Linked DNA regions of Nothobranchius furzeri. The protein of the gene in region 1 interacts with the protein of each later gene in a pairwise test. Links are inferred from orthologs where the notes say so. Each region holds a gene or a part of one and is shown in the gene's direction. Other genes may lie near its edges. The genes, in order: cnot1 and cnot4a.

The links.
Region 2: the proteins of cnot1 (region 1) and cnot4a interact in a two-hybrid assay, tested with the Homo sapiens proteins (3 studies listed by BioGRID and IntAct, with this or other methods). The link is inferred for Nothobranchius furzeri from reciprocal best matches to the Homo sapiens genes CNOT1 and CNOT4.

The regions. Positions count from the first base shown.
Region 1 is NC_091744.1:81,566,580-81,570,505, forward strand, and holds the start of cnot1 (CCR4-NOT transcription complex subunit 1), read left to right. Parts: upstream 1-1,113; 5' UTR 1,114-1,250; intron 1,251-2,508; 5' UTR 2,509-2,706; coding exon 2,707-2,808; intron 2,809-3,926.
Region 2 is NC_091744.1:59,528,770-59,532,595, reverse strand, and holds part of cnot4a (CCR4-NOT transcription complex subunit 4), read left to right. Parts: coding exon 1-184; intron 185-2,390; coding exon 2,391-2,719; 3' UTR 2,720-3,826. UniProt on the Homo sapiens protein: Has E3 ubiquitin ligase activity, promoting ubiquitination and degradation of target proteins. Involved in activation of the JAK/STAT pathway. Catalyzes ubiquitination of methylated RBM15.

The DNA.
Region 1 (3,926 bases):
AGAACCACTCAAGAGCTTCTCTGATCAAAAATCAAAATAAAACTCTGCTTTCTCAAATAAGTATATTATGTACATGTTGGTAATAAATGTATGCAACGCAGATACAAATTATTACTTATTATTATTATAAATAATTATTACACAGCCAGATAACCTCTCATACTCAGGCTTTTTAATTGTTTCCAGATTTGACCATCCTACAGAAGATACAGGACTGCCAACATCCTCATCCAGAATTTTTTTTCCTATTTCTGTCATTAACTTTCCAGAATGTACTCCATTATGGATTTTTATGGCATTCTAAAATGTATACAATAGAATAAAATGATGCAAATATATGCCAAGTAATACTTTCTTTTAACAATCCTAAAAAGCTGTCATAATCTGATTTGACCCTCCCACTATCTTTATGGGTGACCCTGTGAGGAAAGTTGACAATTGAGCAGGATTGATGGTATATCCCTTGAGGTCCACGTGGCAGGGGTGAGGTGGTGCTCACTCCCCAACCCTGCCACATGGACCCAAGGGATAAACCATCAACCCAGCTCAATGGTCAACTTTCCTCATGAGGTCACACCCATTAGGACAGTGGGAGGGTTAAATGTTTACACCATTTGGAGTTATGAGGGTTACTTTACAGAAAGTTTGTTGATTTGTTGTTATTGAGAAATATTTATGATTATGTAATTTTCCTAATTAATGCACCAAATAGAGCAGTGCTAATATAGGCTTTAATAAAAACACGTTTTCACTTGTATCTTTGGGTTTAATGTTGCTTCAGTTGCAAAAGTAATGTAACCTGCTTAGAGACAAATTTAAAAAACTATTGTATGCTGTTCTGTTAAGTTATCCAATACATGACTAGATTTGTATTTCTTGGTCCATTTGCTTTTCTTTTATTTTATTTTATTTTTTGAGATGCATGTGTAGCTAAAGACAAAAGACCCTAGGAAGATCAGGGACAACCGTTTTTCCCTAAATAAACCAAAAGCATCGCATTTGATCTCCTATCTGGAATAAAATTCGTTTGGAGCTGTGACAAGCACTCTGCGTGCAGTGCGTGCGAGCGCACGTTACGAGTCGCGCGGATAGCTCGAGTTCTGGACGCGTGAACGCGCCGTGGCGGTGACAGACGCCATTTTATTTTGAAAACCAAACTGAAGTGGAGGCCCAGCAACTCTTCCATTTCATCAAGTTTGTTGCGGGATACTAGAAGGAATGAGGATCTGAAATACTTTGTTGTTGGCATGGTGAGATTAGAAGTGTGTTTTAATCAAATGACCACCGACAAGTATAGAATAGCCAGCGACACAAACGCGGAGTATTCGTTAGCCACTAGCGCTAAGGGACGGGAGGGGTTGTCTAATTGCTGAGAAACAGCTGTGATATTGTTAATCCAAAAAGTAGTATTTCTCCATTTACCAACCTTTACTATGCGATGCAGGCCATTTTACAGAGATGAGATGTCTAAATAGAAGCTGAATGTAGTACTAAATATGTTAAGATTAAGGTTAAATATTTGTTTCGAGTCAATCAGCGTTTGTAACTATGTTAGCAAGTCCACAGAGTAGTCGGAGCCCACTGAAACAAGCTAACGAGGTTGACGCTAAAGCTCGCGACTCAGGACGTATGAAAAAAAAAACACTTCGTAGCGTTTACGCTCACAACAGAAATTGCCTAAACGAATCAACAGTACTCGTTTGCATAGTCAATTGCATCTTGACATGTGTAAAGATTTTCTTGATTGGGTTTCCTGTCTCGTGTTCACCCATTCGAAACAGGCTCGCGCTGCTAATTGATTAGCATTAGCTTGTAGCCTTGAATTAAAGAAATACAAGTGACTGCAGTCATGTTGTAATGGTCCGTGAGATGAAAGTATAAAGTAAAGTAATCGCATGTTTTTACAAGGCATTAGTTTTGAATGTCTAGTTACCGAATTGTCGATAAAAGGTGCTGTTAGTAGCGTTTCTCAGAGTCATGCTGTTGTAAAACGGCTAAAATCATCTTATTGGCCTTTGAATTAATCTCTCTGGAACGTGAATGATTTTTCAAATGTCAAAACGTAGTCACATATAATCAACATATTTGGCCTTTTAAGATTACACCTAAACTCTTTGATATTTGCGATAGTTTAACATAAGAACCGATGACTTGTGCTGTCTTGTTTGTTAAATACTTTAACATTAGTCAGTTCTGTTATTAGAAGCCATTGTTGTCACAGTTTGTTGTTCTGAGCTAATCAGGCTTTAACAGTCCGACCGATATTGGTGTACAGTTAGGCCGTGTTCAAAGTTGTTCCACCTCGATAACTTCACATTGCATTAAGGAAAATCCAACGAATTAACATTTTGAGGGCAGTAAATTAGATTTGTCTTTTTGGGTTTTTCTACCCGGCCTCACAGACTGTCCCAGTAATGCGAGTTAATATCAATTATTGGCCAAAAGTTTTTCACTTTCATGTGTTTCACACGTTTTAATATATTATCTTATTTTTTTTATTTTTTGCAGATGCTGAACTTGATTTTAAACTGAAGGACTTGTCTACTAGCACTGGGTACCACTGAACTGAACACACGTTTGGAAGGCCAACACTTGTCACACCTTTGGGGGGGGGGGGAGCAAAAGTAACCTATCACTGAAGTGACTAAAGGGGAATAATGGTGATTTTGCGCCGTGCTCGGCCGCCTGCTTCCGCCCCAACCAGCAATGAATCTTGACTCGCTCTCGCTGGCTTTGTCTCAAATCAGCTATCTGGTGGACAATTTAACAAAGAAAAACTACCGAGCCAGCCAGCAAGAAATACAACATGTAAGTAGGAGCAACATAAAATTTATTAATTTATTTTTGTTGTTGCAGGAAAAAACTTGTTTCACTTAAAGTTAAAATGGCTGTTTGTTTTTGTTTTAGCCCTAGGCTAATTACCTCTGTAGGTTATATTTGGTTGATGAAAAAGAGCATCCTTGTGAAATTTTATCTTAATGGAGCTCTTTGATGACGGTAAACTGAGATTTTGCTGGTATCAGTTCTACGATGTTCACATTTTCTAAATACAAGATGAAATTCTCAATCATATATTGAGGTCTCCTGTCCCGCGTAGACCTCCAGACAGCTCTTCCCCGAGCTTTTCTCCATTAGAGCTGGAAATCAGATCAGACACTGCACAGGGACTGTGACAGATTCCTTTAGCAGCAGATTTTAAATAAACTTAATGATTGCAGCTTTGAGCAAGTTATGCCCAAGATAAACAGAAGTCCACTGTAGCGCAGGGACTGCCCCATACCCCCTTTATGCCGCCGTCGCCTAATCTTTTATAAAAGGACATGATTGTGCCACTTTACCGCCACGGTCTGACCGCTTATAAAAGACCTTAGGCTACCTGATGCTGCCACAGCGCTGCGGCAAATTGACTGCATTGTTTTGATAAAACGGCTATAGTTGAACAGCATTTGAACAAACTCAGAGGATCTAAAAGAACAGACTTTAGAGTCACTGGACTAAAAAAGGGGTCGTGTTAGATAAGTGATAAAACCCTGGTTTAGTGAAATGGGCCATCAGGATTAGACAAATGACACTACAAAGCAATAAAAATGCAAGTCAAAATGCTGAATTTTTATGTATGAATAGCCTGTCATGGAATAGAAACCCATAACTCCCATTGATGAGACGTGGAGATTTCAATCTCGTTGTCCTCTGAAACCTAAGTGCTCGCATATCGGCATTCTGAGTTCATTGCGTCATTTCTGGCTAACTTATCTTGGAAAAACGAGTTCCGAGGACAACTGGAATGCACCATAAGTCTCCGAGCAACGCCATGTTAACTTCTATGGGAGCCCATGAGGACAAAATGCATTTACTGATTTGTAGTGCCGCTCAATTAATAGAATTTTAATCGCAAGTACGATATGAGTTTTGAACGATTGTTAAAA
Region 2 (3,826 bases), about 22 Mb from region 1:
CTGAGGGCTCTTCTGCCCAACATCAATATCAACTTTGGTGGCCTCCCAAACTCCTCCTCCTCTTCATCTTCCTCATCCTCCAACAGTGTTAACCACACTGGCGGGTCAGTAGGGCCAACAGGAATGTCGCACAGCCTCAGCTGGGATGGCACAGCCAGCTGGATGGATCCTGCTATCATCACAGGTAGTTTAGCTCTTTTCATCTCAATCATATTAGCTCCTAAAGGTGGTCATTAGCCTGGCAGGGTATTTTGTCCTTCAGCAGCAAAAGGACACAAAAGTAGCCTGATTTACAGACCAAGTTCACCTAGAAACATTTTTTTAAATTCATTTTCAGAATGCGATGGTCACTTTGAGTGAAATGTGAAAAGCCTTCCACACCTATTTCATGCAAAATCTGCTGAATAGAAAATAAGCGGTGAAACTCTAGGAAACGTCACTCTGTCACTTAACGTTCATGGACTCTACCATCTTGGCTTACGACGGGGAAGGCTGTTGTTGGTTTAGTGCCCAGAAAAAGGCAAAGAACATCTTGGCTAGGGATGGGTACCTTTGACATTTGAATCGATTCGGTACTAATTCCCGGTACCTAGGAATCGATACCGGTACTTAATGGTACCAATATTCGAAACTTTTGAGTGTTTATTATTTTAATTCTCTTTTATAATTAGATATATATTTTTCTCAATATATAACCATATTTGATAAATATCACGATAAATAACATTCAACTGTTTGTATTTTAACATCGTCCTTGTAGTTTTATAAGTTGATAATTAAACTGAAGCAAACATCTTTACTGTGAACTAAATTTACTGTGTATCTTCATTCCTTTTGCCGTCTTTTTTCATTTGATTTTTCCTACTGGGAAGTTAGAATTTCCGAGGAGAAAGCGAACGCACCATTAGCTGATAACAACGGTGGCAATGGAAGCTAACATATCAAGCTAACGTTATCTTAAACAGTTTATTTATCTGCTGGAGGGATTAAAACGATGATGCCTCACACTTAAATCGTTGTCGCTGGTTTCATCTTCACCCAATCACCCGTCGCATTTAGTAAAGTGAAGCCAAACTTTTGAGCGCGTTCATGTTCTTCTAGTCGGAATTTCGGAGTTCCGAGGAGAAAGCAAACGCACCATTAGCAGAATGGAAGCTAACATATCAAGCTAATTATATTTACCTACCGGAGCAGATTAAGATGAGGATGTCTCACTTAGATCGTTGTCGCTGGTTTCATCATCACCCAGTTACCCATCACATTTAGTGAAGTGGACCCAAGATTTAGCGTGCGTTCTTTCTACCCATGTTTACAACACGCTCGTAGCGAGCGACGACATAACGCTCTTGCGCATGCGCAGCTGTCTTGGCAAGTTCTCGTTATGATGGACGGGTACCAAAACGAGGTACCGTTTGAAATGACGTGAATCGGTGCTCGGCCGGTACTATGGAATTCGGTCGGTACCTTAAAAAGTACCGAATTCGGTACCCATCCCTAATCTTCGCTAGTAGAAGCTAACTATTAGCATTAGCAACTCCACCACATGGCAGAACTTCTTGTGTTATTTGTGTAAGTAAAACATCAACATTGCAGCGCAAACAGTCAGTTTTGTTGCTGTTAGCCAATCAGAGGCGAGATGTCAAAGTATCAGGAAACAAAACTCCAAATTCTTCAATGTTGTGCTCACCTCTGCTCTGGCTCACTTCTAGTTCCTGAAACAGGAGCACCAGAGCTTTTTTTCCACAAAGATTGACTCACAAGGCGTTCATTTATACTAGAGACCACTGCAAATGTGTTGAAACAACGAGTGAACTTGGTCTTTAATCTCTTGAGACCCTAATTTGTTTTGGTGTGATTTAAAAAAATAAAATTCTAGCTATTGCAGATTAGTCGACTCAGACGTGAACAAAATATCACTTGGATAAAAAATCTTGTTTAATAAAATAAGAATGTCTTTTTAAAACTTAAATATCAAGTAAAAAATTAAAATAATAGGTCTAAGTTGAAGAGAATAAAACGAGTGCATGAATCCAATGTTCTCACATGTGGCCGCAGAGTCTCAGGAGGTTACAGGATGAAACTTTATTTTCTCACAGTGAAATATTCTTCATATCAGCATCATCTCTGATATTGTTGCATACTTTTTTGTGAAAACTCATAAAGATTTAATTCTGTCACCCTAAACTGGCTTTAGACCATGTTTTTTACATCCAGACAATAATACTGCTAATAATAATAATAATAATGTCATAAGTAAGCACACCCCACCAGGACTCACCTACAGCCAGCTGCTTCTGTAAAGACCCGAGTCTCTAAAGTATCAGTCACTGAAAACTTCTTTGCATCGTTGCCACTGCTTGTATCTGATGATCCATCTCTCCCCCCCCCAGGCATCCCGGCCTCGGCAGGCAACAGTTTAGACTGTCTCCACGACGACAACCCGCCACACTGGCTCAAATCGCTGCAGGCTCTTACAGAGATGGACGGCCCTGCCAGCTCAGCCGTGCCCACACCCCAGCCCCTCCACAGCGGCCTCCTCGATGGCCACCTCCCTCTCCACCACAGAGCCCCCAGTGGCTGGGCTCCCTACCTGCCCCCTCCCACAGCCAACCCTGCCAGTCAGTTCCACTCCCCTCCACCAGGCTTCCAGACCGCCTTCAGACCCCCAGGACAGCCCGCCACAGAGCTACTACAGAGCGCCGCCGTGGATCGCCACTGAACACAGACTGGAGCAGATCCATTAACCTGTTTCCCAACTTTCTACCCACTCATCCTGTTGTCCCGCTTCCTTTCCCCCATGCAAAAACACACCAATCTGCAGAGTATGGGAAAAATTAACTAAATAACTAATTTGCTTTCTTCTTCTTTTTTCCCCTCTTCCTCCTCCCATGCGTCTCCCCTAAAGCCCTGTTTGGTTTTTGTTTGCGGCACACTGGTTCCCAGTACTTTCTGTCTGCTGCCATCACGACTCCTTAGACCTAGTACTGGGAGCAAACGGGAGATTCAACGTGTAGCTTAATGTCACCAGAGCACAAGAATCAGCATAGCATTAAAGAGGCCCAGCGGTGACTCCAGCTGACCCCACAAGCTGGCAATGAAATAAATTAGCAGAAGTGAGGTAATTTTAACAAATGTAACTAATGATTAAGCATGAAAACATTTTGTGTTGTTGGAGAGTCGCGATCAGTCTTTGAGGAATAAAAGCAAGCTGTGAATCTGCTCTTTGAAGCTTTGCCCCAAAGACTCTCATTGTACCCCCCACCCACCCCCCCTTCAGAGAAGACAAACGGTTAAATCTTACAGCCATGTTGTGATTAAAGCAAGGTTAGACAGCGATAAGAGAGGTCAGCACTTAGCCTTTTACTGAAATCAATATAATCTGAAAATATATCCGATTGGACTGGAGGGAGAACGAAGATGCCACCGAATCTGAGAGCACAGGCTATGCATGGGCTCCCTGTTAGGTAGGGACACAAATGGCCTGCATCAGAGGCCACTTGGCTCATGCTCTCTTTAGTGAGGGGCCCCCATGGGCCCCATCCGGCTGGAGGGAGAATTTAGCTGAACCTCTGTATCAGAGGGTAGAGCAGCGCCTTACCACAGGGAGCCGGGGCTGTGGGAACTCATGGCACACATCCTGAGCACTAGGGTTAGACTCTAACAGTGCCACTGTGTGGTACCTACCATACTAGCCCTAACATGGACAGCCACCACATGGACAGGACTCGAGTCAAATACTAATGAGGGTAATGGAGGGTGTCAGGTCCCAGAGGGCTTAAACGAGGCCTTACACAGAGAGTTGAGAGAAAGGAGCTGGAGTGTCTGA